Linked DNA regions of Mytilus edulis. The main gene of each other region encodes a partner of the protein of the gene in region 2 in a complex. Links are inferred from orthologs where the notes say so. Each region holds a gene or a part of one and is shown on either strand. Other genes may lie near its edges.

Region 1 (7,693 bases), on a different chromosome or scaffold from region 2:
CTCTACACTTGTTGCGCAAACAATAGTGTCTTCTTGATGGTTCCAATTTACTATTGTGGACACAAAGAATGAATTTGAATGTTGCAGTGTTTTACTGGTAGGAATGTCAAAACACCTGGTATTATTCCTCACTTGTTTTTCAACTGTTTGTGGCTTGACAGTTGTCAAACATTTTAGCTGTCTTGGTCTTGCTGATTTGAGGAAGTCGTCTGGATCAATAGCAGGTAGCAGCCCCTCAACCACCTTGTACAAAAATATAAGCTTGTGCGTCTCAATTGCAATTCCTGTAGCTCTAATTTTGTAAGCATGTTTGTTATGCAGCCATCTTCTCTAGTTCTATAGTCACCTGTGATAAAGCGTGCTGCTGGTCTTTGTATTTGTTCTGGCTTGTTTGAGTCTGCTATACTGTAGGGGTCCCATACTGTTGATGCATATTCCATTGTTGATCTTACTAGAGAAATGTAAGCAGTTTTCTTACATTCCTGTGGACAGTATGGTGTAAATTTCTTCTGAGGAAGCCTAGGGTTGAATTTGCCGTTTTAGCAACGTTAGTTATGTGCGTGCTCCACTTCACGTCTTCTGATATCTGCACTCCTAGGTTTTGGTTGCTCTGAACTTGATGGAGTATGTGGCCGTTGAGTGTATAGAATCTCTGGCTTTTGTTCTTTATGCTTAGTATGTACTTGTAGCACTTTTTTGCGTTAAATCGCATACCCCATTTATTTGCCCACTATATATATGACTAAGACTAAGTTAAAGACAATAGTAAATACCAATAAAAGCACTGTGCTTAAACGGCTGTGGGTAACTTAAGTTACCCACAGCCCAAGATGGCGGACTCTAAACTCGTTGATATTTAATTCATACAAAATGTACCTTTTGCGACGTTTTTCATGCAGAATGTAAATATTTATAGGATTATTGAATAAAGAAATGACTAACAATTACCATAAATTTGTTAATATAGAGTTCACTAAAGCGCAAGGTCAACTTTAAAAAATACATAAGATGTCCGTAACTTTTTGATCGAAACTAAGCAGACTGTCCGTAACTTTATTTTTAGATGTGGGTAACTTTTGATTTAAAATTTTAAGAATTATAATTTCAACAATTAGAAGACAATAAACATCATATTTGTAACCTTCGCGGCCGTTTATACTACTCATTCACCACCAAATGTGATTTTATTAACGCATCATACTTACACCACAGACGTTTTATGTGGGGTTTGTGGTACTCCATCCTGGTTATGGTTTGAACTTTTATTTACTGATGTGCGTCTTATCGACGTTTTTCGCTTGTCAGACCAAGGCTTTTCCATACTCTTTAATGTTTTGAGTTTAATTATATGTTTGCAGTTTGTCTTCACCTCTGTTTCTTTCTATGTGTATTTTGATGAATACTCTTTGACGCGGCTCGGTATTTATACATCCCACCAGTTAGTTATAGTGTTATGATTTTTTGAATATGTTTCCTAGTATGTTTTTTTTCTCTCTTTGTATGTCATCAGGGGTTGTTAGACTATTAAATTACCCTGTTTTCCTACGTAGTTATTTATATTTTTATATACTATGTCGAATTGTTACACTATGATGACTGCTCTTTTCCTTTTATTGTCACTGACTTTTACCTATTGTGTCTTTTAGTTTTATTCAGTTTAATGAGATTTAATGCAACTTGCATACAAATGAAATATGCAGCTAGCTGTAAAACTAGGTTTATTCATTTATACAAAATGTCCTTTTTTAAAGTTTTCCCATTTACTGTAAATCTTGGCCAGGGTGCCGCAATATCACCGTGCGCAACGTCCCAGTGTGTCCAGATTGACACCCCTTTTATTTTACTGTCAATGCTGATGGGATTTGTTTTTGTGGGGATGAGAGAAAAGTGTTTTTGGCTTTTTCAAAAAGACGGAAAAAGTTTGTGCACTTAAGTTTCGTATAGTCTATCCACTGCACGCCTGGGCAATTTGGGTTCCCCTCCAAAATCCCGGATTCACGCTACCCTTGTCGTTGCTGGCAGAAAATCAGTAAGTGTATACATGCTACATGTATGTGTAAAAAATACTTGTGTAGTCTACTTGTTCAAAAATAAAAACGAACAATGATGTTTCAACAGTTTATCTGCTATGATCGGAAACAACCCTCCGAACTAGGCGATTCGGGTACCCCGACGTTATACAAAATGAGACCCGAGTTTTACGGATTTATCGTGATTTTTTTCATATTTTTCCCAATTTTGTCTTTCATCGATACAATGAATTATATCATACTAGACATCTACTTCGTTTTGTGAATATGTATTCGATGGAATCTCTATCATCAGTTTAAACATTACATCCGCGTATGTCGATTCTTTGAAAGTTACGGACATCTCTATTGGTATGATGAAAAAAGTTACGGACAAGTTGTTTTGAAGTTACGGACAGCCTAAGTGTTTTTTAAAATCGTGCTGTGATCGTTTATTTTGGTGAATTTAATCACCTTTCCAGTTTAGGGGTTTCCCTAAACGATTAATACAACTTTTAAATTCAGTTGTTTAATTGATGCATTCGTGGTATTGTTATTATATAGAAGAAAAGTATCTAACCGACGCAAGGCGGCTCCATCTTGGGCTGTGGGTAACTTAACCACAGCCGTTTAAGCACAGTGAAAAGGGTGCGAACGTGAAAGGGGTCTAACGTTATTTGGAGAAACGTACCCGGCATGTTGACAGTTTAAAAATGTAGAAATTTGCCATCTGGTCTCGTTTTTTTGGGAATAAATCCAATAAACTTGAAAATATTCCTTGGTACATAGCTTATTGGTATACTTTTATATGTATGTGTTTCATAAACAACAGTGAAAAATACTTTTCACTTATTATTCTTACCATTCTATTTGTTTTATTGTGAAATTCGTGTATAAACTTTCATGACAGCACGTTGACCGGAAATAAATCTGATTGGAGAAAGGGTTAAAACCTGTCATTCATGTTTGAGAACAGCTCCGTACTGTAGGCGTTATAGTTTTCATTTCTTCTACCATAAACCTGATAAATCAGTTTAACTTTTATATAATTCTTTGTCAATCACAAAGTTAATTTGAATACGAATATGATAACGACAACATTAACACACCAGTTCAACTGTGATTTATTATTGTGACTATTACATGTATTATTGTGTCTGTTTAGTTAACGCATCAATGTACTGAATATTACGGTATTTGATGAGACTGTCATCAAAGTGAGAGGGTTAGCGCTATAAAAAGAGGTTTAATCCACCATTTTCTACATTTGAAAATGCCTGTACCAAGTCAGGAATATGACAGTTCTTGTCCATTCGTTTTTGATGCGTTTTGTTATTTGATTTTGCCATGTGATTATAGACTTTCCGAATTGATTTTCCTCTAAGTTCAGTATTTTTGTCATTTTACTTTTTAATATCAATCAAGAAGCATATAAGAACAAAAAATGAGAAGAACAGAATATAGAAACAAACAATATAGATACATAGTTACAATAACTTTTACTCAGACATAACAAAAATACTTATCATAACACTAGCATATTTAGTAAATTATCCAATTCGGCTCAGTTTTGAAGCCTGCCGGTGCAGTCTTCAACGCTTATTGAAATGATTATGCATGATAATGTAACACATCGAAAAATTGATACTTTTTGCTAACAAAATCAAAGAGAACAATCCTATTAGATTAAGCAATATAGTTTTCACATGGTAATGGAATATGATACATTAGGTATTTTACATCTAATCTTTATGGGAATATGATTCTTTATAAAGCACAAAAATGTCGGCAACCACCCCAAAAGCTAACCAAATCTTTAAACAGATTTATTTAGAAGATATATAGTTACAAAACTGTTGTCAGTTTATTAATGGCATGTTTTGGTATTAATATTGATTTACTCATAGGGTCTTTGCATTCGAAATAACTGACACATTTATTCAAAAACCAGTTCAGTGTTGACATAATACGGGTTTTACAAGTTCTCGTATATTTTATAGATATAGGAAGATGTGGTGTGAGTGCCAATGAGACAACTCTCCATCCAAATAACAATTTATAAAAATAAACCATTATATGTCAATTTACGGCCTTCAACACGGAGCCTTGGCTCACACCGAACAACGTAGCTACAGTACGGTCATATCAGATAAGATAAATTTTATTTTCCAAATTAGGTCCCCAGGGGGGCATATACACATAACATATATAATTGATACAATATACAGTATTTTACATAACATTTTAAAATAAACTATTGAAATAGTCATACAGGTATTATTTGTCAAATAAAAAGTATTTGAGAGTTGCTACTCCAGAGATGTGGCAAACCCCATTTATTTATTTACTTTTTTTCTCTCACTTTATTTTATAATATTTTGCTGAAAATGTATAAATATAAAATAAATGATTGTTTAGCTGCAACAGACACCAAGGGACGATGCTCTAGGATTGTGATCTTAAAAGCTCTAACAATCCTCCTCGTATCTGATGCAGAAAAACAAACACAAATGAAAAAAGTTCATGTATATTCACAGCAATTAATAACATAAACTGCAGTAAACAGGTATTGAGAATAGTGTAGGTTTCCCTACTGCAACAGACACCAAGGGGTGGTACTCAATGAGCTGTTGTATTTACACAGTCCTCCTGGTGTCTGAAGCAGACAAGAAAGCCACATAATTAACAATTTTTCGAAATAAATTTACATGCAGCAGTGAAAATAGACTTATCTTCTGTGTTCATAAGCCATATCAGTTTATCTCTTGCGTTAAGAGTTGAAAAGTTGGGGCAACTTTTAGTTATCTCTTGAAATAGATGATTGCGGTCATCATTAAATTTAACACATTGGAATAAAAAATGATATTCATCCTCCACACCTCCGGAGTTACAACGAGTACAAGTTCTGTCATTTTGGAGAGTACCCTGATACCTTCCGGACTCAATTCTTAAGTGGTGTGATGAAATTCTGAGCTTTGTTAAGCTTCGTCTCTGTTCAAAATTCCCAATAATGGAAAGATAGTGTTCTCTTCCAAAAATTGATGTAAATGTAACATAAGTTCTAAGTTTACCATCTGAATGCTTTACCAATTCAGTGTTCCACAAGTCTATAAAATATGATTTTAATTTTTTTTCATATTAGCTTTGAAGCTATTAATTTTTGGTAATGGTGAAGATAGATAATTTATGTCTGGGATCATTTCAAGAATTGATTTCATAGAGCCATACCAAGATGGGTTTTTTTTAATGAGAAAGATTCTGTGATGTAACATAAGCATCTTTAAGAAGAGAAAATCGGGAATCAAGATTTTCCAAGCGATACCAGTAATCTAACATGGATTTAATCATATCATAATAAAGTGGGAATCGTCCTAGCTCGGATAAAATTTCCAAATTCATGGATTTGTTATGAACACCTAAAACAAGTTTACAAAATATATATATGACCGTATGTAGCTAAACCTCTTACGGGAGGTATTGTACTTGATGTAAATAGGATGAAGACAACATCTTTTAATCAGTTTAATTAAGGTCTGCAGCTGGTATGTTATTAACTGTTCATAGTCCTTTGTTAATTTTTATCATTATCATTTTTCTTAGTTTCTTTTGTTACCTATTCCTGAGACTATTATAAAATCTTAGCTTATTCTGACATCAGACTCGGACAGTTTTACTGTGTGTATTGCTATGTGTTTGTTTTCTCTTCATTTGCTAGGGGTATAGGGGGAGTGTTGAAACTTGAAATCTCACTAAACATGTTTAACCCCGCCGCATCTTTGCGCCTGTCTCAAGTCAAGAGCGTATGTCTTGTATCATTTCTAATTTTTTTTCATATTAGTTTGGAATTTAGTATGACGTCAATTTTCACTGAACTAGTTTTGTTTAGGGGACAACTAAAGCCCCTTTTTGGGTGCGGGATTTTATCGCTGTGTGAAAACTGTCCCCTTTAATTGTTGTCGTAGTCTGTTTTCTGCTCTATGGCCGGGTTGTTGTCTCTTTGACATATTCCCCATTTCCATTCTCAATTTTATTCTCTCATTTCTAGGAATATTTGAAAAACGACCAACCTTAAAGCAGATCTTCGTTATTTACATATGTTGATATTCTGAAACAAAATTTATTAACCAAACAAAGATAGTTTTTAACCAAAATATCATTTGAGCATTAATAATTGAAGATATAGTTCCCATTAGTAGTATTGTATATATACATATTTACGTTTATACTGCTGAATTGTCAGTACAAATTAATGAGTTACTCACAAATTTACTACATATATATTTTAGTACTGTCTAAAGTTTTCAAATTCTTTTGAATTTAAAACAAAAAATCTGATAGTTTTTTACAATTGAGTACCGTTATTTTACTGATATATGTTGTAAATCTGGTCAGTGACGAAAACATAGAATAAAAGGCTGGTGATACCTTTCACAAAAACAGTAAAAGATCAGGGGCGGATGCAGGAATTTTCGAAAAGGGGGGGGGGGTGCTAACCCAGGGCAAAGGGGGGTGCAGGGGGGTGCAAAACATATGTCCCGATACAAATGCATTGATCGGCAAAAATAAAGGGGGGGTGCGCACCCCCGGAACCCCCCCCCCCCCCTGGATCCGCCACTGAATATCGTTTCATCTCGGCCGCTAATAAGTGTTCTGCAACTAATCGTTCAGTGCAAGTTTTAACTAGTTTTTAAAAGTTTTAATTTCTGACAAATTGCAAAAGAAACATTGCTTACGGTTAGCGGGCCGGCAACTGAAATGACACACTAAGAAACGCGCGTCTGGCGTATATACTAAATTTAGTCCTGGTATCTATGATGAGTTTATTATCAAGTACGTACGACCATACAAATTCATCGTTGCAGTCTACACGATGTTAAACAGTTCAGAATGTAAGTGTTAAAATAAAGCGGACTCATGTTTTTAAAGGGGCATTAGCTGCCAAATTCATGTTCAACGATTTGACTCAATTCCTCAAATTTAATTTATAAAATACTAAAACGTATATATCCAAATTACAATAAGTCTGAATTAAGCAGTTGACAAATCATGTACTCGATAATGTATATCAGAATTTCATGTCTATTTTAGTTTAGACGCCATCTAAATAACTGCCGAGATGACCCTCGAATACTCCCGACATTCACATCACCCGATATAAACATAAACCTAAATCTAAATAGATTGCGACCTCGTCACGGTAATTGGATTTTTATAGGTCTATTTAATTTCATGTTATAGGTTAAACAAATAAGTTAATAAGAAACCTATGTTTCACTTCAATGTTGACATTCTTTTCCTTTTATAAATGACTGAACACGACTTATGCATGCGTAACCAATCTTCATCAGCGATATTTCGTTGTTTATTTTGACAAAAATGTAGCGTCAAATTTGCTGCCAAAAACGAATCATTATTTCATTATTTCACTTTTATGAACGATTGAACCAAACATAATCATATTCTATTTTTTTCAAATCTCGTAGCTAGTGCTTTTTAGAAATGTTTCAAAGTCTAACAATAGGCGAGACATTACCAAATTGTTGAGCAATGATGCATGTTTATCATAAATTTACGCCTAAACATTGATATTATAGTTTTATGAGGGTCACGATCACCAGTCCAGTAGTCAGCAATTCTGTATTGACATGACTTATCATTAATATGGTCATAATTATTATACAAAA
Region 2 (7,666 bases):
TCATAGACGAAACGCGTGTCTGGCATAAATATAAGGAGTAAATATAAAATTTCAATCCTGGTATCTATGAGGACTTTATTTCCGGTATGTATTGTCTTTTGTACCAAGTCATCATTCTGATTTTCTGCCGCCTAAATGTATCAAGTACGGAATGACCGTTGTTTTCTAATCGTTGGTAAGACGTGGTTCTAAACAAGAAATTGACATTAGTAAATGTGAGAAGAATGATTGTGGAGCGGAATTTACAACTAATACTGAAATTTAGAAGAAAGAAAAAACAATTTTACTTACTGATGTTTTGTAACATTACGAAGTTTATCTCTGATTTATATACTGGTTACCTATGTAAATGACAAATTGGTGCCATTCATAGCAATGAAACAGAATCCACATGATATATGCGACCATTATTTGATAAAATTAATATTACTTTGATATTACACTTTTTGAAACCATTTCTATCAATTTTCAGATTCCATTGTCTAAACTTGTTCATGATTGTGTTGTTTCCATATATTCTAGCCACTAATCTTGAGTCTATCCCTTTATTCAGATAACACCCCATATAGCAATAAAATTATGCTTGTAATGTCATTCATAACTCTTAACAGACCAATTAACAGACCGAGTTTTATACATCCGACCCATTAACAGACCACATTTTTATCAAAAATTGATTTATGTCACCAAAATACAGTTTTTCGTGTAGATTTTTCACATATTGATGTTAATATGGTAAACAAACATAATGCCTGTCTTTTTTCGTTGTTCAAAATATTGCATGCAAGTAAACTCAACCAACTTGTCATTTTTGTGTACATTTTGTGTGTGTAAAATGTGTATAAATTTACTGATGAGTAACTCGCCTTTTCATTTTATAGATCGTTTATTGAAGCTAGAAAAAAAATAATTACACCACTGGATTCAGTATTCCAAATCGTTTTGTCAGACATGAATAGTTTTTATGATATAAATATAATTAAAAAGTTATACAATGAAACATACTGACCTTGCAATGATTTTCTCGATAACACCTGATTAACAGACTTTAGCCAACCCGATTAACAGACCAACCGCCGATATAGCCGCATACTCAATATAGATTAACCGACCAAACTCTCGGTTAGCCGAGTGTCGGCCGTGATGTTCTAAACACCAAAATAGTTTCTTCTCAATATGAATTGATTTTTTTTTCAAATTCAAATTTTTACGGTAATACCGTATATGAAAATAAAAGATTTTAGGTAATTGAAATAAATATATTTTTTATTAATTTTTATATAAGACAAAGATGCCAAATATTTATAACAATGAATGTGCATTGTTTTATTATGCACAGAATGCGTGACCGTATTTGGGGATTTCTCAAACAAAGGTTATTTAAGAAATGTAGACAAGGTACCATGTTTTAACAACAACTCGTCGTCGGTACATGGGATATGATTTATAGTTTGCGTTATTTTCTCATTTTATATTCTATTTTGATTATAGTATATACAGTTTTCATCATTTAGAAAAATAATCATAATAAATATATGATCTTTATACTTTCAACGTAAACAATCTCGGGAGTTTTTATAGGTAAAATGTTTCAGTAACAGAAAGTGATTTTCAAACCTCTCAAATATCCACTTGGTGTTTGTTAATACTTTGCAATTTCACTGCAATCAAGCAGATTATTATGAAAACATTTTGTCAAGGATTTGTAAGTTGTTAAGAAAAGAATAATTTGCTATACTGTCTCTGAAGCTTTCTGATTTTAAGTACCAGCATGAAGCATTTTTTTTTTAATATTGTCGTATACCCAATGAAAATATCAATGGGGTATGGAGAGAATGCACATGAGATAATATTTAATATCAATACATGGTAAAATCAAAATAAGGAACGTTTTTATTCTTGTCCTTCATCTTCAAGTCACATGAGGCATTCAACAATGATAAATATTTCTCATAACTGGTAAGTTTAAGTTTACCCTTCGCATTGGTTTGAGCAGAATTCATGGTTAAATATCATACAACGCTACATTCCTTTTTATGACTGTTCGTTGATACTTTTAAATTCCACCAAAAGCGAATAGAAATGAAAACATTATGTCTAGGACTTCTCAACTTTTACTAAGAGGAATAATTTGATATTTGTTTGCTTTAAGATTTTTATAACTTTTGTCAAACGAAGTTGGGGAACGGATTTAGTGTTTCGTCTGTCCATCACAAAATTAAAGTCCATCTATCTAGTTTAAACATATTTATTAGCAGTGGATTGGGAAACAAGTTATTGCAACTTATATTAATCCCTTTCCACTTTGCAGGTGCGAGTGCTGTCTTTTAGCGGAATTAGCCTTCTCTAACTCGAAATCTACAAGGCTGTATTTTACGTGCAAGAGAACATTGGTCAGCCATATATTGTCCCCTTCCGACGGACTGTCGTCGTTTTTCAAGACCACACTCACAAATGGTGTCAAGGGAGAGCCGGAACGGGGATCGAACCAGGAACTTTTTTGTTAGTAGTCCTATGTACTAACCACTACAACACGACTCCCCATCTATCTGTGTTATAGTTATAGTTCATTAGATTTTGTTCATAGATGCGTCTTTAATAACAAAGGGTCATGATAAAAAAATAAGGTCATCTTGACCTACATTTCACATATGAGTTACTAATTGAAGTTTGCGTTAGAGTCCATATCTGAGATACAACTCGTGAAGAAATAATATTTGTCAGTAGATGCGTCTGTAATAGTCCGCATCGAGGGTCTTAAAAAAATATGTCATCTTGACATAAAATTTATTGATGGGGAAATGAGGTGAAAGGCTGCGTTTAAGTCCATATCTGAGACGAGGAATACAATTATTTTGTCAGTAGATGCAACCTTGATAGTCAAGAGTTTCAAAATCAGGTCTTGAAAATGAATTGCATGGATGATATTCGATTTCATCAACTGCACAATTAAGTTATATCTTATATAGCATTATCGTAACTAATTGGATTGGATCAATTCTGTCAATTGAGGATTAAAGTGAAGAGTCAATATAAAAATTGTTTATATAATCTTTTGCACTATTTTTACACCAAAAATCTCCATATTTCCGGCCAAAAAAATTCAACTCTCTCAGTGTGCAAGTTTGAAGTTTGGCTAGCTATAAAACCAGGAACACAAGGAAGTGCCGCCATGTCAGTACAAAGTCAGGAATGTGACAATTGTTTTTAATGCGTTAGATGTGTTTAAGTTTTTGATTTTGCCATTCCATAAAGGACTTTTCGTTCTGAATATCCAATGGAGTTGGTATTTTTTGTTAATTAACATCATTTTTAACTTTGTTCCATATGCTGATAAGTCTTAATTTTTCACGGATCGACGAGCTCAGCATCATCACAACCTAACATAACATTATACTATAAACTTTTCCCCGTGACGAACTGCTGAAGAATGAATTATACAGTATTTCAAAATCTAACAGTGCTTGTAAAATTCTCACGCTACCTCAGTCAGTGGCCCCGGGTTCTCATTTTATCCATTAGGAACATAAAAAGTAACGGAAATGTAATTAGCTTTATTGTTATCAAAATATTTGTTTCTGTGTCGATTATTTTTTTTCAACTTTTAACTATATAAGGGGAGATATCTCGTTTAGCGAAATTTTATAGTCTTTATAGTCCTCGTGATGAAGAAGAGTTAATGAAATTTGTCTACTTGTAGCAAGAAACAAGCTCATTTTCTGTTGTTGTTTTTTTTTGGATATTATAAAAACTTTCAAATATTTTATTCACAACTCTTGTTTCATAAATTTCTTACTTTTCACAAATAGTGCATAAAAGCCTATTAAAAATAATAAGGATTCTACACGTTCCCTTTTTAATACAGATACAGACAAAGTTTTTTTTATGACCCCCACTGTTTATTATGTTTTAGAAAGAAATAAAATTGGGGAATGTTTCAAAGCGACAACAACCCGACCATAAAGCATAGTAAAATCGACATTTTGATAAAGTGAGTGTGAGTTCGTGGTCTAGTGGTTAAGACCGATGGCTACAGTGCTGAAGGTCCCGAGTCCGATTCTCACTCGGGGTGCTAAAAATATCAGTACATCAGAAGGGTAATTTTCACCCTCTCACACACATCTCTGGTACCCAGACCGGAGTTTAAACTAGAATGGGTACTTTGGGGGCCTCGGTTGGTCAAAGTTGTTCCCTACTTGACCTGGAGATCAATCTTCTGATATCTCTCTGGTTTGTCTGTTTCCACCGAGTGGCCCGGTGGTTCTCTCCGAGTACTTCGGCTTCCTCCACCATAATAACAGACTTCCCGGTGTCCTAGCACTCCCTTAGTGTTGGGTGGGGATTGAGTTGTCCTTGTAAAAATAATTGTCGTATAAATATACGTTAGTGACACATCTCCATTAATCCCGATAGGGAGTGTACATGGATGATCATGGATGCCACTGTACCCTCGCAGCTTTCGAGGGGTTCTTCGGATATCGGAGGCATTTACCAGTACATACAGTATACGAAATTTCTGTCAGGGGAAATATTTAGCTATTATCCTCAATAACTCATGATTAATCCTTTTCACTTTAAAGTTTTCAGAATGTATGGCATGAAAGATCATAAAATGGATGAATATCGGAGATTCTTGCCTGACGGATGTACGTATCCGGGTTTTATTGTCGTACTCATAATTTTGTGACGTAGATCACAACTCATGTGTAGTTGCTGGAAGCCGCCATTGCGTGCGAAATAACATATTGCAGCCAATTTCATTTGTCATAATATCTTGTAAAATAGTATATACACTAAGGTGAACAAACATTTTTATATAAACTACATCTCGATTAAGATTTTTTATTCTATATACATTGTAAACTGCAGAATAAGCTTGTACAGTACTACCGTACGCATTGAGATTTAGTGCCGGTGGTCAGGGACAGGGTTCTTTCTTATTTGGTCACTTGAAGACAATCCAGCAACGCCAAACTCTATAAAATTTGGGGAAATCATTTGACAAGTAAACAAATACCAATTATGTGAATTTTTCAACACCAGAGGAAAGTAGACAAACTTTCCATTTATAAATTTAAAACATGATTTATTTCACCAAATTCAAAGGTTTAATTTGAATACATGAGAAATCAACTTTACACTAGTTGTCAGAAACTGTCTGAGATCTGCACTTTGTGTCTTTTTTGTTGTCGGGGATAAATATATACACTGTCAATTCCAATGGCCAAGTTCGGATGGAACTAGAGTTTTGACTCTAGTTCCATATGAACGGGACATAATTTTGAAGAGTAAGGACTCTATATTACCGGAAGTACAAGGCCCCTACTCTGAATATGTTTACATTCAAATTTGATTGGATCGACGTCATAACGTCCGGGATATCGAGTCGATCTCTAGTAACCCTGCCACAACCCAGGGCTCATTGAGTTCTAATGGCGGGAAAGCTATATCCAATCATAACAGGTGTTATATATGACCATGTCAATCCCATCTACTCTAGATATCCATCCGAACTTTGCCAATGTGCATGTGTAATATGGTCATACCAGGCAGTAATTTATTACCGCTTGCATAGTGATGTAACAGTGTTTCTCGTTAGTTTCTTATATGCAAAACAGATTGGGGCCCCTTCCGGGTTGTTTGCTTAACATGAGTGTTGAATCTGAGAAAATATCATGGATTATCAAGCATTCCCAACAGCATAAACCCTACATTTTCCCCAATTATGGGAGCAATTCCAAAACGATCTAAAAAAAAAATTCATCTCAAGTCATGACAGCACTGTTCATTTATTCAACAGTTAGCTTTAAGCTTAAAATCTGCAACAAGAAATGTGTAAATCTGAGTAAAAGCATATTTTTTTTGCTAAGAAAATTAATGAAACACGTGTATATTAACAATCATTCAAACATTATTCTTGATTATGTTTTAGCTAATTCAAGATGTCGAGGTTTTTTATGGGATCTGATTCTGAATCAGATGATTCAGTAAGTGATACAGAGGTAGCGCCAAGTAGAACCACTACCAAACCAGCAACGTAAGTATTAAGCTTACAGATTTATGCAAAAGTTTTAACCTACATGTAGTTAAGGTAGAAAAGGGGGGGATTAATAATTTTTCAAAATGTAGTTTAAATCATACTCTTTTACAATTTTTTTTTTTTTAAAGTATGGGTCTCTGGACTTTTTTTCATGTTACATGTACATGTTGTGCAAGATTGTCAGATCTTTTTAAGATTTATATGCATGGAAAACTTGTACTTCACATTATTTATAGAATTGTAAAAGTAAAAACATCTTGAAAAAAAAGTATCTTTTTCTGACTTTGTAATGGTTGATAACAAATTCTCTAACGATTAGATGTAGTAAGTGTCAAGATTAGTTATTTTTTGGTACAAATAGTATTATAAATTGTCATGATTTGAAATCAGGTGATCCAAAGAAAATTTTATGAACTGTTGTAAGAAGTAAAATCAAACGGAGCAAAATCAATTTATGCATGCAGGGTCAACAGTTTTCATGTAAATTTAAGAGGACATATATTTGCTTTTGAAGGGGTTACCAGTTCAGTGATGAAGAAGAAGAAACAAAGCGTGAAGTACGAAGTGCTAAAGATAAACGGTAAGAAATAAAAGATATAGATCAAATGTAGATTAAACTGAATTATTTTAGACCAAATAAAATAGTATGTGTGGTTCCAGTTATATCTAAAAATAAAAATAGGATAGGAAGGTAGGGATTATTTTTTACATTGAGTCTAAGGGAGCAACATTCTGAATTTAATAGTGCTGAATAAAAAATGATGTAAGAAAATCTTTAGGGTAAGCTAAAATTAAGTCTTAAAAGTAGGGTAGGCAGCTAGGGTAACTCGAACCACACATATATTTTTATTTGGCCTTATAGAATACAAACTTTTAAATTTAAGAAATATCTATTTCAATCTTTGATTTCAACTGGAAATGTGCATTCATGATGACATTTATTTTATGTTTCTCTTAATGTATGAAACATGATAATTTTCTTTTTACAGATTTGAAGAATTAAAGACTATTATGAAAAACATGAATAACCATAAAAAGATTAAAGATATGGCCAATGTTCTTACAGGTAAGTCAGTAAAAGGTGTAATATCAGCTACTCATATACATGTTAAAATTGTTCTTGTAAGGCAATTACTAATCTCCAGTAGAAAATTTCAAGCAAATATTTTTTTTTTCTTTTTGCAAGAGGAATGGTACAAGTTGAATGGCCAGGATAAATATTGTGCTTAATACTTTGACTTTGTTGATTTATGAAAGTATTATATGAACATGATGAAAATTATCTTGAATTTTGCTGATTCGAAATGTTTAGCTTATGTCAATCGACAAAAAGGGACCACTTTTAATTTAAGTGCAAAGATATTTTACTTCCATGGTAGTGCAAATAAAGTCTGTCATTATAGGGCTTACAAATGCAGTTTGGATCATTGATTCTTACAACATCACTGGTACCATTTATTCTTTCTTTGTAGATTTAACATATTTATTGCATGCATCATTTACATCTATCTGATTTTATCAATAAAATGCATGCTGTCTGAGTTGCCATTTTATAGGCTAATACAATGTAGATGAAACAAATTTTATCTAAAATAACCGCCAAGTACAAAAATTGTCATGAAATTT
Region 3 (7,869 bases), on a different chromosome or scaffold from region 2:
ATCAATCCCATCAGACTCCTTTGGCTTCGATTTCAATAAATCTCCAAGTAATTCTGAAAAAAAACAATAAGTTTCTGTGATGTACATTTTACAGAAGAAAATGCATTGTTAATAAATCAAATAGTTTATGCAAAGGTATGTGAAATCTCAAATAAGTGATTTTTACTATTCATGTACAAAATCGCAAATGATATACATGTAAGCCCAAAGAAGCATGCTTTTAAGCATATCTTAATTTAAGGAAGCACATAAGTACGCTTGTCATGTTTTGGGATTTTTGTAAGATTTTCAGAATCCTCTGGTTTAATCCATTTGAATGCCTTAAAAAATTTGCCCGTTAGCTCCCATTTTTCTTTTTATAAATCTTTTACATGTATGATTTTTAGCCATCTGTAAAACGTGTTATAATATTCTAATTATTTTTTAATAGTTTTTGAGAACTTAAACTTGTCAATGATACAGCTATGAAACGTCAAGAGAAAATATTTTCCCACCAAAATTTCAATGGCTAATATCTCGAAAACAAGCACATTGACCTATATATTTTTTTGCTCTTTTAATTTCTTTATTAATCCCCTATCAATATATACTAGTGTTTTGAAATGCTAATTATTTTGAAACTGAGAACACACTCCCTTAAATATCTTGATTACTTTCCCCAGCAAATCTCAGACTGTCTCTAGAGTAATAAACAATTTGACAAGGTTTGACTGAAACTTTATATCCAAGGGCGGATCCAGCCATTTTCAAAAGGAGTGGTCCCAACTCAGGATAAAAAGGGGGTTTCGTTTTTATGTCCCCATTCAAATGCATTGACCGTCCAAAATAAGAGGGTTTTCAACCCCGCAATCCTACCCCTGGATGTGCCACTGATATTGTAAAAAGTAGTTTAACAAAATTGTTATCAACAGAATGAAAGAACATTTTTGAACTTGTTGATGAATTAGTGTTTAAGGTTCATCATAACCTTTTGGCTAAAATGGCCGTATTTACACCCCAAATTTTACTCTGAGTATAGACTAACCTATACACCTGCAACAGTTTTAAGGGATGGCAGGAACTAGATATATAAATTTTAAATGCATTTTATGTTTCAGAAAATTATAAACTTTTCTAGATTTTGCTATCCATTTTTTTCGTTCCTGCAGAAGGTGCAAAAATTAACTAAGTAGTGAAAACGATTGAGAAGCTCCCCTCATATAATCAATGTTGTGAGTAGTATTGATTTAAATGGACAATAGACACCTGTAAACAATAGGTGAATTTACAGGTTTAAACTGTGTAACTGAGTGGACCGTATCAAATGAAACTCGGGTGTTTGTTTATTTTGCTATCTTCTGCAGACTGGAAAAAAATGAACATCAAAATCCAGGTAAGTTTTTAATTTTCTGAAACGTAGACTTCATATAACTTTTATATATATCTAGTTCCTGCCATGCCTTAAAACTTTCCTGGATGTACCAGTTTGTCTGTACTCATAGTAATTTTGGAGGTGTAAACACGGCCATATTTTTCAATTCCTTACGATGAACCTTAATGTCAAGTGGCAAATATTATATATCAAGGATATGAGGGACAATCCCTTGTTAGGATGGTTGTCAATGTCAAACCATTGCCAAAGAATCCGGGTTCGTTCGCCCCCTTTTACTTTCGCACCCTACATGTTCGCATCCAAAGTCCGTTCCCACCCTACATGTTCGCGCCCAATTTTAATTGTTTGATTTAGTAATCATGCAAGTTTTGGCAAGAGTATTCTTGTTGTCATTGTCTTAAAATAAAGTGAGACAGCATTTTTTTTTATGTGTTGAATAAATCTTAATCATGAGTTGGATAGTGTATTGTTAAAAGAAAATATAATCCTTTTTATAAATAAAGTGGGATTCTGTCATCGTTTTATTTTGTGTTGAATAACTCTTAATCATGTTTTGGTTAGTGTATTGCTATAACTTTGTTTCATTGACTTGTTTCAAAACAACTAAGTGAGATTCTGACTACGTTTTTTTTTGTGTGTTGAATAAATTTCATCATGTTTTGGTTATAATAGTGTAAAATACATGTATTTTATTGTTTAATTGTTTCAGATCAAAGTTACCAAGCTGTCAAAAACAATTATCTTTTGTGTTTTTCATTTAAAATCTTCAATGTTTTACTCATACCGAGCTATATACATTCAATATTTACACCAAAGCAATTTAAAACAACAATCATGATTTCCAATTATTCAACTGGAATGTTAATAAAAATTGGGCGCGAACGTGTAGAGTGCGAACGGACCTTGGGTGCGAACGTGTATTGGGCGCGAACGGACCTGATACCATTGCCAAACAGGTTTGACAAAAGAGTTGACATATGGTATAGATACTGGTTGAAGACGGAAGGTTGATCTCTTATCTCATTTATTTAGATTTTTGTGAACAAATATAAGTTGCTTTCAGTCTCTCATGGATACATCAATCATACAAGTTACAACGCAAATTCTTTCTTTCCCATATTTCATCTCTTTTGTTTATATTTATATTTTTTATATTTTCAAACTAAGTGTGTATAGACATATATATTCATTGTGAAGTGCTCCTTTGAAGGAGGGATTTCCCAATACAGATACAGATACAGATTGCGCATAATTTCATGCAAATCGTTGGATTCTCTAAGAATTATATGGACTGGTATAGATAGATCAGGATTAAAACAAGACTTAAGGGGTGAAATCAGACTAAACATCTTATAAAAGTGGTTTTGAACCACTCCAGAAGTACGAAAACCATCGGAAGCCCACATATGGGGTAGAAAAAAACATGTTACGAAGGTTAACCTTCGTCAGTTACATCTTCATCATATTCATCAGGGTCACTAAAGTCTGGTTCTTCTCCGAAATCCTCAAATTCTCCGTCCTGATTCTGTGAATCAGATTTTTGTCTCCGCGATTCTGAATCGCTTCTATCAGCCGCCATCTTGAAAACCCTCGTGGATTCGCCGGTAGTTTATTGCGCAGGCGTAGAAATATAAATGTTAAACCGATGACCAAACAATAATATCAATTTCCGCAAAAAATGACAAAACAAAGAAAAAAAACGTTAATAAGACCAGAGACATATTCTACATTTGTATTATATGTCTCTGATAAGACGAACACAGAAAAATAAAGATTGAGGAGCACAATAATAACTTTTCCCATTTATCTTCAATTTTTACCTATTTAGGGACTTTTAGACGAGAAAAAAATATCAGTTTCACAATTAAACTATTTTCATACTTTCACTAACTATGAAGTGACCAATCTGAATCAATTTAACTTTTATGATCTCGACGTTTAAAGACACTGGAAAAGTTACATTTAAGGAGGCTCGCGGGTATAAGATTTTCAGAAAAAAATTAAAACATTAATTTTTCATTACAAATTTTGTTTATTACCTTAAGTAGTTGTTCCTTTATCATATGGTACAAAAATCATTCCAAAAAATCAATTTGTGTTGGCCCCAGGTGACTTTTAAAATGTAGATATCATTGAAAAAGCTCCAAATTATCTCCCTTTGGTGCAAAAATGCCAATTTTTTTGCATTAAAATATAAGTATCTTTCTTAACACATCGGTGACCTATATTTTTTATTGTTGTTTTCGAATAAGCTGTACATAAACTAAATAATTGTAAAATTTAAGCGATTTCTGTTATTTAGTTCTTTTTTTATTTCGATATTACCGCTATTTCTCCTATTAGTTCAACAGAAAAAAAGGACATTAACAAAATGTATGCTTCTTCCGAGATTGTGAGCGTAAATGAACGGTGACCCCATTTTTTTATTTCATTTTTCTATTTGAGTATCAGATAAAGTTCATTTATAGAAAAATATAGAGAAATCCTATATTAAATAAAAAAAAATTATTTAGACCCGTGATTGCCAGGCAAATATTTCAGCATACTAGTATTAAAAATTAATTTCCATAATGTTTACAAAATGACTGTACGTTTATAGCTTATGTTGATGCTTTATGAAATAGATTAGATCGATCGTCGGTGTGTTAACTAAGAGTCGGTGCTCATAACCTTGCCATTAAAATAGGAAGATATTTCAAAATGCCAAGGGGTCAAAAATGAACAGCACATACTAGTTCATTGAAGAGGATACTCCTATATCAGAGAGATTTAGAATTCAACATTTCCAAAATTGCTGAAAAAAGTATAACCCCTTTTGCGATAAAAAAAATATAGCGTATAATTTATATTAAATCTTATACGGACTATTAAAGAGTACAGGTAAAAAGAAAGCCCATTTTTCTTTAATAAACTCGTGTATTACTTATCTTGTGAATTCAAAAGACCATGTGCGATTTAAGTTGTACAGGATGTTGCAATTTTGGATGAATGTTATTTAGAATTTAATACTCTCTGACCAGGTGTGATCTGTTTAATGACTTTGCCCCAAGCAAGAGGTATTAATTTAAGTTGGTTGACCGTTATGGAATAACCGTATCACAAATGATATCGGATATGTTCCTTACGTCGTAACTACAATCCCCTTCCCTTTCCTGAATGTGACCTACCGAATTAGACTATTTACCGGATTTGTTATCACATAAGCAACACGACGGGTGCCGCATGTGGAGCAGGATCTGCTTACCCTTCCGGAGCACCTGAGATCACCCCTAGTTTTTTGGTGGGGTTCGTGTTGTTTATTCTTTAGTTTTCTATGTTGTGTCGTGTGTGCTGTTGTTTGTTTGTCTTTTTCATTTTTAGCCATGGCGTTGTCAGTTTGTTTTAGATTTATGAGTTTGACTGTCCCTTTGGTATCTTTCGTCCCTCTTTTATACTTATCTACTAATCAGAAGAACTATTTTATTAAATTCTTTCCATATCAAAAGAATGTCGATGAGCGATAAGTCGAGGTTGATTAAAGAAAGCCGAAGAATAGTTGACGCTTCCAATGATGTAAATCTGAACTCCGTCACATTGCTTAACATGATTTTGGAAATAGTTACGGGTATCGACTCTACAATGAGACGAATGGAAACAAGTATGGAGAAGCACCTTGATGATTTGAAACAAGATTTCTTAACGGTGTCAGCTAGGGTTAGAACATTAGAAAACCAGGCAAGCCATTTCAACAAAAAGCTGTCAGACTGCGAGACTAGCTGCCAAGGTGTTAGCAATCTTTTCGATCAAGTATCTGGACAAGTAAAAACCAACAGACGTAATATAAACAATCAGGATACGAGAATTAAGAAACTCGAAGACAACACCATCGTCCGACCGGGTGTTCCACCAGTCATCATTTCAAAGGAAATTGAGTCCTTAAAGGCAGCTATTCTTGACTTGCAATGCAGGTCAATGAAAAACAATCTGATCTTTACGGGATTGCATAGAGTTCCGGGTGAAGATACGGAAGAGCTTTTGCGATCTTTTCTATACGATGAGCTGAGGATCGACTACAAGATCGAATTCGGTAATGTCCATCGATTCAGAACAAAGGGGGACAACAGAAGAGCACCAATAGTTGCAAGATTCCTATATCACCGTGATCTGGAATATGTTTAAGCAAATGCTACCAGACTAAAATGTAGACCATATGGAATACGGGAACAATTTCCTCATGAAATTGAACAAAAGCGGAAGGAACTGTATCCGGTGTTAAAACAAGCCAAACAGCAAAATAGACAAGCCTCTCTTGTGCATGATCGGCTATACATAGACAATCAGCTCTACATTCCTGACACGGTATTAGAGGACACTAGAACGGAGCATACTGGCTCTTCATCAACAAACCATGACACGAGCCCAAAAGGGTCTTATTCTAGTGATACCCATCCTAGCAAAAGACAGCGACAGGGACCGTCTCCTCGCCCACCGCACACAGATGATTCACCAAATTCTGGCAGATAGGGGAATGGTGCAAGAGGACAACCTCAAAAGAATTTGAAAAGTTATGAAACTGTGAATAAGAAATATACAATTAACAATGATAGTTTAAATATTTGTTTCTTAAATGTTTGTGGACTTAAGAAAAGGCTATTGTCTCCTGATTTCATTGACATTTTGCTTGAACATGATATCTGTATTTTTGTTGAAACGATGTTAACTGATTTAGATAATTTAAACTTACCAGACGATTATATTTATGTCACAAAAAATAGATTTTTTTTTTTAAAAACCATCAGGTGGAATAGTTGTTATTTATAGAAAGAGTTTAGAAAAAGAATTGAATTTCTATAATACTGAGAGTCAATTTGTTTTATGGTTTCAAATTTCTAAATCAATTTTGTCACTTAATTCAGATGTAATTTTTGGTTGTGTTTATGTACCACCTGAAAATTCTAAGTATTCTACTATAGAAGCTTTTGAAGAATTGGAAAATGAATTGAATATCCTAACAAACACTGAAAATTGTTATGTTGCCCTAGTTGGCGATTTTAACTCAAAAACTGGGTCTTTACCCGATTATATTATACCTGATGAGTCAGTTGTTAGTATGTTTGATTTAGATTGTGATACTGATATATTATATTATTTGTATGATTATGAGAATCTGACTCGAAACAAAATCACCTTACAAAGAGTGTCTCAGTGTACATGTAGACCTAATAAGTATGGTCATAGACTGTTAGAGTTGTGCAGAAAAAATAATTTATATATTGCGAATTCAAGAGTTGGATCAGATAAAGATATTGGGGAGAAAACATGTAACGATTCAAGTGTTGTTGATTATTTAATTATTTCAGCAATGCTCTTCCCTATGATTTTTTATTTTGAAATTGCTGACTTTATACCGTTATATTCTGATTGTCATTCTTTTATAAATTTTAGACTTCAGGTCACATTTAGTAAATCAGATTCAATTGTTATCAACAATAGAAATGATCAAACTTTTGTCAGGTGGAAAAGTGAACAGAAATCTGAATACGTTGATCGAATTCACAATGATCCCGAAGGTATTTTGACCACTGTTATGAATAAACTGGACAAATTGTCCGTAAATAATGATGCAACTCAAAATGATATAAACAATATAGTTTTAGATATCAGCAAAAATTTTAAAGATGCGGCGGCAGAAACGTTTGGGAAAATAAATAAACATAAACATTTTTACAAACATGAAAATTCAAAACCTTGGTTTAATAGAAAATGCTCGATGAGTAGAAAAAAATTTCATAAAGCTCGAAAGAGATATAGTTTTTTGAAAAATGCTGAAAACAGAAGTAAAATGAGACAAGCTAGTAAAGAACATAAAATAACATTAAATAAAGCTTTTGCAAACTTTCAACAGAAGGCTGCTGATGAGTTGCGTAACATTTCTAAAAAGGATACAAAAGCTCTATGGAAAATCCTGAATAATCTAAATGATAGTAAAAAAAAAAGATAACAATGACGATATATCTCTAAAAGCATTGTATGATCATTTTAAAATACTAAATGAAACTATTGAGACAGAAAATGATTTCGAACAAGATTTGGAATTTGATACTCGATCAGACGATGTTGAGTTATCCCGTACACTTTCCTCATAAAAAAAACAATCTTTCCAGAACAGAGTAGCAAATGCCATCTGAGATTATTAAACTGGTTATTTGCACGAGACTTTTAAAATAGTTACTTTGGGTGGGTTTTTTAATAGTATATTATGTGTACTTGCATGAGCAACACGATGGGTGTTACATGTGAAGCAGAATCTTCTTTACCATCTAGACCACCTGTAGTTCACCTCCTGTTTTGTCATGTGGTACGTGTTGCTCAGTGCTTACTATTCTTTGATCTGTTTTGTATGCTGTTGTTTGTCTCCTTGCTTTTTTGCTTTTTAGTCATTGTGTAGTCAGTTTATAATCATCTTATGAGTTTCAATGTTCCTTTTAAATTCTTCACCTCATTTTTGAAGGATTACA
Region 4 (6,983 bases), on a different chromosome or scaffold from region 2:
CTCATCAGCAATCATATCACATCACCTTATTTTATATGTATATATTTTTCTAGCCTCATTTTCAGAAAAACATAAGAGACGTTTGGAATGGTGCGTCAATTTTCTTTTTTGCAGACAAAATCTGAGAAATTTTCATATGGTCTCCATGGAAAGTGATGTCCCAACATGTTTTATTCATGGTGCCCCATGTCCATCAAATTATCCTTAACGATTTTCTACGATGTAATCCAACATGGTTAAATTTTCACTGTAAGTGTTGCTGTTGAGTTTCACGCTCAGTTTATTTATTTATTTTCCTGACCACATGGAACTTTTCCTTAATCACAAGGTAAGTCTAGAGCAATAATTTATAGCAGAAGATAGGTTACCATAAAGTACAGAAAACTGAATTACATCAATGACACAATTATCAACTATTGGAGAATAACTGAATGTTATGTACTTAAAGATTCTCATTGAAACCATGATGGTGGATTAAATATGGACAATGGATTAGAAATTTTAAAGTCTGCAGAGTTATACTGTGCAACCACACTAAAAATAAATGTGGAATCTGTACATGACACACAGAAAGTGCCCCATTTGCATATCATATAAAGTTATAAAGGGACATAACTGAAGAACAGTAAAAGTGACCCTACTAGAATGTGTACTTGAATGTGTTTTGTGGTTATAAGTATTGTGTATAAGTTTCATAACATGTGGTAAAGGCAATCTTATATTAAGTTTTTAGAAAACAGAAATAAAAATTCAACATTTATTCCATTTGTAAAGGGATGAGTTTAGAACACTATAAGTGAACCCACCAAATTTCAAACTTGATCTGTATTATGCGGTAATAAGCAATGTGTAAAAGTTTCATAACATTTGTTTAAGGCTGACTTCAGTACATTGTTCATAGCATTTGGTTGAGGCAAACTAACATGACTAAAGTTTTAGAAATGCAGCATAAAATTCAGCGTATATTTACATTTGTAATTAAAGGGGCACAACTGTAGATCGTTTATAGTGACTCCACCAAAAATTCAAAATTGATCTGTGTTTTGTGTAGTCAGAGATTACTCTGACGTCCAACGGCTGGTTTGCCAGACAAGCTGGGGCCATTGGACGTCAGAGCTCGTCCCATATCAAAAAGTGGATATTTGCCCACCCAAAATAGATGCCCTGCTTCGTCGCTTCTGGTGCCGACTGACGGCCTTGGAATTACATAAATCGGGCATCAATCTGTTCATTTTTCATTTATCTTTTCATTTATGTAAGTTTTACCTACCTGCCAACCTTTATTTTTCCATATTTTAACAGTTTTCACCGAGACCCATCGTCTTTCAAGGCTATTTTTTCCAGGACACCTTTCTATCATGAAGGTGTCCCAGATTACAGCAGACGCCATAAACTTTTATTTGGACTAGTTTGGAAAGAACATAATGAAAGCAATTGGTATTTTAGAAATTTTTCAACTAAAAACCTGATGCTATTCAAACATGACAGCATCTATAATATTGACAGTGCTCTAGCTAGAAATCAAAAGAGGCAGGGTGCCAGTGGAGGGCAGGGCACTTTTTATGATAAGAAAAGGCTCTGCAAATTTTTTTGTCTACGTTTCTGTGTGTATCACGAGTTAACGAATCTCTTTTTTTTTACTGTATATGTTGGTTTTTTTTAAATAAAGATGCATTTTAACTATAGTCTTTATTTCATTGTTTGTGTAGTTATGAATTATATAGTACATCTCTAAGTTTCTGTGTATTACTAATTTATCAATGTTTAGAACATGGATTGCTAAAAGTATAATTATCAAACAGAAATTGCAATATATTTTTTTTAATATGTTCAAAGACAGTTAATATCCTTAAGGTAACATTATTATGTTATTATATATTCAATTGGTTCTTTATTCCTTTTTTTGATACTAGATAATATTTTTAGAGCACAAATTTGTAATAAGCTAAAACAGGGGAAGTAACTCCAAAATTAAATTCCAACACGTTTGCGTTAATTAAAAACTGTGCTTGTCGCTAACAAGTTGAGATGGAAGGCATTTCTGTGAAGGCATAGTTTTATTTTGATGACTTAAATTCAATTCTAAAGTCATGAAAGTCTTCATTTATACACTCTTCCATTGTGACTTGGAAATCGAAAATGACGACCCAAGCTAAACACACTAAGCTAAACACACTCGCTGACACATTCATCAAATGTATGACAAAAAGATACATTGTCCTAATTAAATTACCTAGATATTAACACCTTTGAAGTCTTTATCATTGTAATTGATTGTAATGACATGATTAACCTGGGGGCAATCACACTAGTGTCATATATGTAATTAACTTGGAGATCAGAAATCAATGAAACAAAAGGCAATTTTACCAAAACGGCACAAGAGAATTTTGGAAAAAAGACATCAGGACAGAAGGGCGCGGATGAAGGCACCCAGGGCGCGGCTGAGTGCACCCAGGGCGCGGCGCCCTTCTATTTCAGGCTAGCGAGACCACTGATTGATGTATGCACTATCCATGCTATCTGTGGCTAATTTATGTAGACCATTGATTGACACCGACAGTGATCATGTGACTATAACTTATAATGAAAAAAGTATACTCCATAGGCAACCACCCTTTTAAATTTATAAACGATACAAGACAATGAGACCAAACAGAACCTTCTGGTTTATTTACTCCCTTTAGTATATGATCAGAATGAAAGCAGCTGGAACATATGATAAGATGACAATATGTCAAAGGCGCCTTACCATCTTCTCCTTGCTCTACCTGTTCGGCCCAACTGAATCCTTTCGGCCTAAAATAGAAAAGAAGTTATAGAGTTTATCAAGGTTAGGGAGTCTTTCAGATTTGAAAATAGTAGACTATCATATAGTAATTTTAAGCCAAACATACTCTGCGTCTATTGACGGCATGCTTCTTGACTTATTTGACACTTCCGGTTAAATGGGCAAAACTAAATGATAACATTATCTCGTCCCAAGTTGCTTTTGAGACGTTTCGGCCACAATACCAGTTCGTCCATAGGTCATTTCGGCACATTACCAGTTTGACACCTGTTGATTCGGCCATATTTTTTCATATTTTTCATAATCATTATTTTGGTTATAGAAATTTGTTTTGGAAATTTTACTTGACAAAAAGAAAATTGTTCAAATGAAAAAGATAATTGATATTTGAGTAAAAATGCATCATATAAAAACAAGAGAAAACTGTTGAAATTGATCATAACACTTGTATATGTGTCTGATAATAAGAATTAATAAGAATTTGTAGACTGTTTGATATTTTCTAAACAATGACTTGACAAAAGCATAATATTATGACTTCTAAAGATAAATCAACGGAATGATAATTAAAAACAAATGATCAGAGGGCACACCCGCAGCCAGGGGTGTTCGATGGGTTCTGTTTTAATTGCAACTGTTAAAGTTAAGTATGATTGTATCGAAAGAGACCGTGGTTGATCCTCTAGTGTGGCCAATACGTCCTGCATCACTCACGTTTAATGGCTTTCATTTATTATGTACACGCAAGCTTAAAAATCGAGCATTTTGAACTGATGATTGTTTCTATACTATGTCTAGCGGCAAAACATTTCCCAACTCTTCAAATAAACAAATAAAGATCTATTTCGTGTCAGAACAGACATAAAAATATATGTGAAAAAATGAAAACTAGTTAAATTACGATAAAAAAAAAGAAGACAAAAAACACATAAAGCACCGATCTTATCTGACATGAATATAAAAACAAGAAGGGGTACAATTTCTCAATGAGGCAACTATCCATCAAATTAAACGGCATGATTTATGAAATATTTTTTCTCGTATCGTATCGTATGTGAAACAATTTAATGGTGCAAATCAACGGCAGGGTCTGAATGTGGTTAGAAGAGTCGAGAATAATTAGCAAAATACAGAATTAATGGCCAAAAAGATAAATGCGGGATTGTCTCGCTGTGCCCATTGGTAGCCTCGTTTTCTGCGTTTTCAGTTGGGTTGTTGTCTCTTTGACACATTCCTCGTTTCCATTCTTAATTTTATTGTAAATATACTAGAGAAAATAGAAGGAAAAAATCACACAATCTATAGTTTCCGGCATAACGCACAACACATAACGCCCAAAAATGGATAATAATCACCATTCAACATCTACATCTCCGTTTTATCCATGCAATATGGCTTCGTGTATTTTATACATTTGTCCAAGCTAAAGAAGGTTCCAAGTGATTGTGTAATAGCCGTGGGAGCGATTGAACAGGGCGTCAATGAAATATCAGGCTTTGAGATAATGAATTTATTTCAACTTTTACTGTGGCAATGGCATTTTAACTTGAAGAGAAATGTATCAGAAAAGGAACACTATAGTAAAAATGTATGTATAGCAACGATGTTTTTTTTTTAATGTTTTTGATATGATTTTGTCACTGTTGTTTGACAATTTTGAACAATTTACTCGAAGCTCTTTCATTTTAAGGAACCCGTATGGATATATATTGATTTTTTACTATTTCATTGGTCCATATTTACACGTAACGTGACGGTACCCAAATTGCACCTATTTTGACTGTTTTTTCACCTACGTTTTTTTATGATCATGAAAAAAATGCCCATACTGTGTGTATTTTGTAGCCCTATCCTTCTTTATTGTATAGGTACACCAATTTAATTTTGAATCCATATTGAGTCATAAAAAAATGGGTTTGAATCAACCTCCAAACTGTCCATGATTCTGTAATGAGGAGTACCCAAATTGCATCCATGCTTTATAAATTCACATCGTCAAAAGTCTGATAACCGAGCTTTTGTTTAATTTCTTCAAATATTTTGAACAATTGGATATTAGTCCATGCTTACTCTTCATATTTTACGAAATGGATACTTATGATATTGTATTTGGTAATTTTAGGAAGATGACGCTTTGATGACGTCGCATGATGACGTTTTCGTACATTTTGCTTTTTCAGTAAACAGTCCATCTGTTGATTATCACTGTGAACGTTTTGTGTATATCTAAATATGTTTACCTATGTTAAAAGACGTATATAGTATCAAATCATAAAAATACAAAGTGATTAGTCTCTAGGAAATCTTGTAGGATTTCTGTTGCTATTTTTTCTAAATAGGTGCAATTTGGGTACTCGGTGCAATTTGGGTACCCTTACGTTAGAATGTTTTCTTTATAACAGTTGAGTTCATCATACAATGTCCCATCCAACAACTTGTTAGTTTTTCGAATTGATATTCTCCCGAGCGACTATACTTTAAATATATTGATAGAATAAACATGATTACGGTCCATGCAGTTTTGTTTAAACACTTATGTTTGAGTGATAAAAATCAACGACCAGGGTCTAACAGGGTTGTTTACAGAATAGAGAATAATGAGCAAAAAATACAGAATCAAGGGGGAAATATTTAGGCAGGATTTTCTTGCTGTGTTGAAGACCATGCAAGTCTCTTAGACACATTCCTCGTTTCCATTCTCAATTTTATTGTAAATATACAAGAGAAAATAGAAGGAAACAAATATCCTTCAATCTATTGTTTTCGGCCAAAGCTCTATTTTTCAGCATAACACTCAAGAATTGATAAAAATCATCATTCGTTATTACGTTTTATCCATGTAATGACATATATGTTCGTGTATCACTAAACACAAAATGCATCGAAACAAGGTCATAATATGGTAGCTCAGTTTTCGATGAAACAAAAAAAAAAAACTCATTTAGTTATGTTTGCATACACAAACAAGCTGTAGAATATTATTAATTCATTTTTTCTATAAAAATTGATTGATTTCAAATTGGTCTGAAATTTAAAATTTACATTTTATGAATTGAATCCGTGAACCCGGTTTATTTTGGCTACTTTACACCACTGATTACTATATTATGAGTTGTTTGATTGACTGTCTACTTGTGACAATCACTTTATATTTTCTCTTTGCAGAATTTGTTAATATTGTTTTTATTTTATTTATTATTTATATTTATCATATACTTAGCATTAATATGATAGCTTTTGCATATGTGTAACGAACGGAAGTACACAAGCCATAATTTCCCACCCAGGCTGATAACCCATATCAGCCCGGTCTGATAACCCATATCAGGGGCGTCTCGTGCAAAAACCCATAACAGTGCTTCTCGTGCAAGTTACTTCCGGTGTTTCCGGTATCGGTTGTTTATTTTTTCCATTGTGACGTCAGATATTGATGACGACGTCAAAATTTACGGGAACAGTTTTGTGGGGATAGTTTAGTACTTACTAACAAATACCATTGGCAATTATGAATCATTTTATAGTACAACAAACATGGAGTAATAATGATAATGAAACTCTTCCAACTACTCAATGTTTCAAAATGCCTCTATAGGAAATGTTACCATAAAATGTACATATACTTTTAGAGTTAAATTAGGGGTTCGACAAGGTGATAACCTAAGCCCTAATCTTTTCAAAATTTTTATAAATGACTTTCCATCATATATTGATAATGTTGATGATGATCTGATTTTGGGTGATACTAATATTAATTGTTTAATGTATGCTGATGATATTGTTTTGCTCTCTACCACATCATATGGTCTTCAATCTAAGTTAAAAAATGTTGATAAGTTTTGCTCTGACTGGTGCTTAAACATAAACACCAATAAAACAAAAATTTTAGTATTTAATAAGCAAGGTAGACTTATCAATGAAAAATTTACTCTTCAGCAAGTTGAACTGGAATGTGTACAGCACTACAAGTATTTAGGCCTTATATTTTCGGCTTCAGGTGTCTTCTCTCATGCAAGACAGGAATTGTACAAAAAGAGTCTAAAAGGCTATTATAAATTATGCAAAGATGTTATTCGTTCACATCCAAAAATTACTACCAGTCTACATCTATTTGATCACATGATCAAACCTATTTCTTTATATTCCTCTGAAATTTGGGGTACATTTAACCCAAAGAGTAGTAAATTTAGAAATG

What was found.
Region 1: eukaryotic translation initiation factor 3 subunit C-like (region 2) and eukaryotic translation initiation factor 3 subunit I-like share a complex: the UniProt entries of both Caenorhabditis elegans proteins name them as parts of the eukaryotic translation initiation factor 3 (eIF-3) complex. The link is inferred for Mytilus edulis from reciprocal best matches to the Caenorhabditis elegans genes eif-3.C and eif-3.I.
Region 3: eukaryotic translation initiation factor 3 subunit C-like (region 2) and eukaryotic translation initiation factor 3 subunit B-like share a complex: the UniProt entries of both Caenorhabditis elegans proteins name them as parts of the eukaryotic translation initiation factor 3 (eIF-3) complex. The link is inferred for Mytilus edulis from reciprocal best matches to the Caenorhabditis elegans genes eif-3.C and eif-3.B.
Region 4: eukaryotic translation initiation factor 3 subunit C-like (region 2) and eukaryotic translation initiation factor 3 subunit G-like share a complex: the UniProt entries of both Caenorhabditis elegans proteins name them as parts of the eukaryotic translation initiation factor 3 (eIF-3) complex. The link is inferred for Mytilus edulis from reciprocal best matches to the Caenorhabditis elegans genes eif-3.C and eif-3.G.

Annotation. Positions count from the first base shown.
Region 1 is NC_092344.1:35,625,046-35,632,738, forward strand, and holds the start of eukaryotic translation initiation factor 3 subunit I-like, read right to left. Parts: upstream 3,003-7,693; 5' UTR 2,875-3,002; coding exon 2,872-2,874; intron 1-2,871. UniProt on the Caenorhabditis elegans protein: Component of the eukaryotic translation initiation factor 3 (eIF-3) complex, which is involved in protein synthesis of a specialized repertoire of mRNAs and, together with other initiation factors, stimulates binding of mRNA and methionyl-tRNAi to the 40S ribosome.
Region 2 is NC_092349.1:66,957,286-66,964,951, reverse strand, and holds the start of eukaryotic translation initiation factor 3 subunit C-like, read left to right. Parts: upstream 1-4,663; 5' UTR 4,664-4,798; intron 4,799-5,932; 5' UTR 5,933-5,942; coding exon 5,943-6,037; intron 6,038-6,554; coding exon 6,555-6,620; intron 6,621-7,029; coding exon 7,030-7,106; intron 7,107-7,666. UniProt on the Caenorhabditis elegans protein: Component of the eukaryotic translation initiation factor 3 (eIF-3) complex, which is involved in protein synthesis of a specialized repertoire of mRNAs and, together with other initiation factors, stimulates binding of mRNA and methionyl-tRNAi to the 40S ribosome.
Region 3 is NC_092352.1:57,917,525-57,925,393, reverse strand, and holds the start of eukaryotic translation initiation factor 3 subunit B-like, read right to left. Parts: upstream 3,024-7,869; 5' UTR 2,952-3,023; coding exon 2,813-2,951; intron 54-2,812; coding exon 1-53. UniProt on the Caenorhabditis elegans protein: RNA-binding component of the eukaryotic translation initiation factor 3 (eIF-3) complex, which is involved in protein synthesis of a specialized repertoire of mRNAs and, together with other initiation factors, stimulates binding of mRNA and methionyl-tRNAi to the 40S ribosome.
Region 4 is NC_092345.1:11,400,233-11,407,215, forward strand, and holds the start of eukaryotic translation initiation factor 3 subunit G-like, read right to left. Parts: upstream 3,010-6,983; 5' UTR 2,918-3,009; coding exon 2,898-2,917; intron 2,800-2,897; coding exon 2,753-2,799; intron 1-2,752. UniProt on the Caenorhabditis elegans protein: RNA-binding component of the eukaryotic translation initiation factor 3 (eIF-3) complex, which is involved in protein synthesis of a specialized repertoire of mRNAs and, together with other initiation factors, stimulates binding of mRNA and methionyl-tRNAi to the 40S ribosome.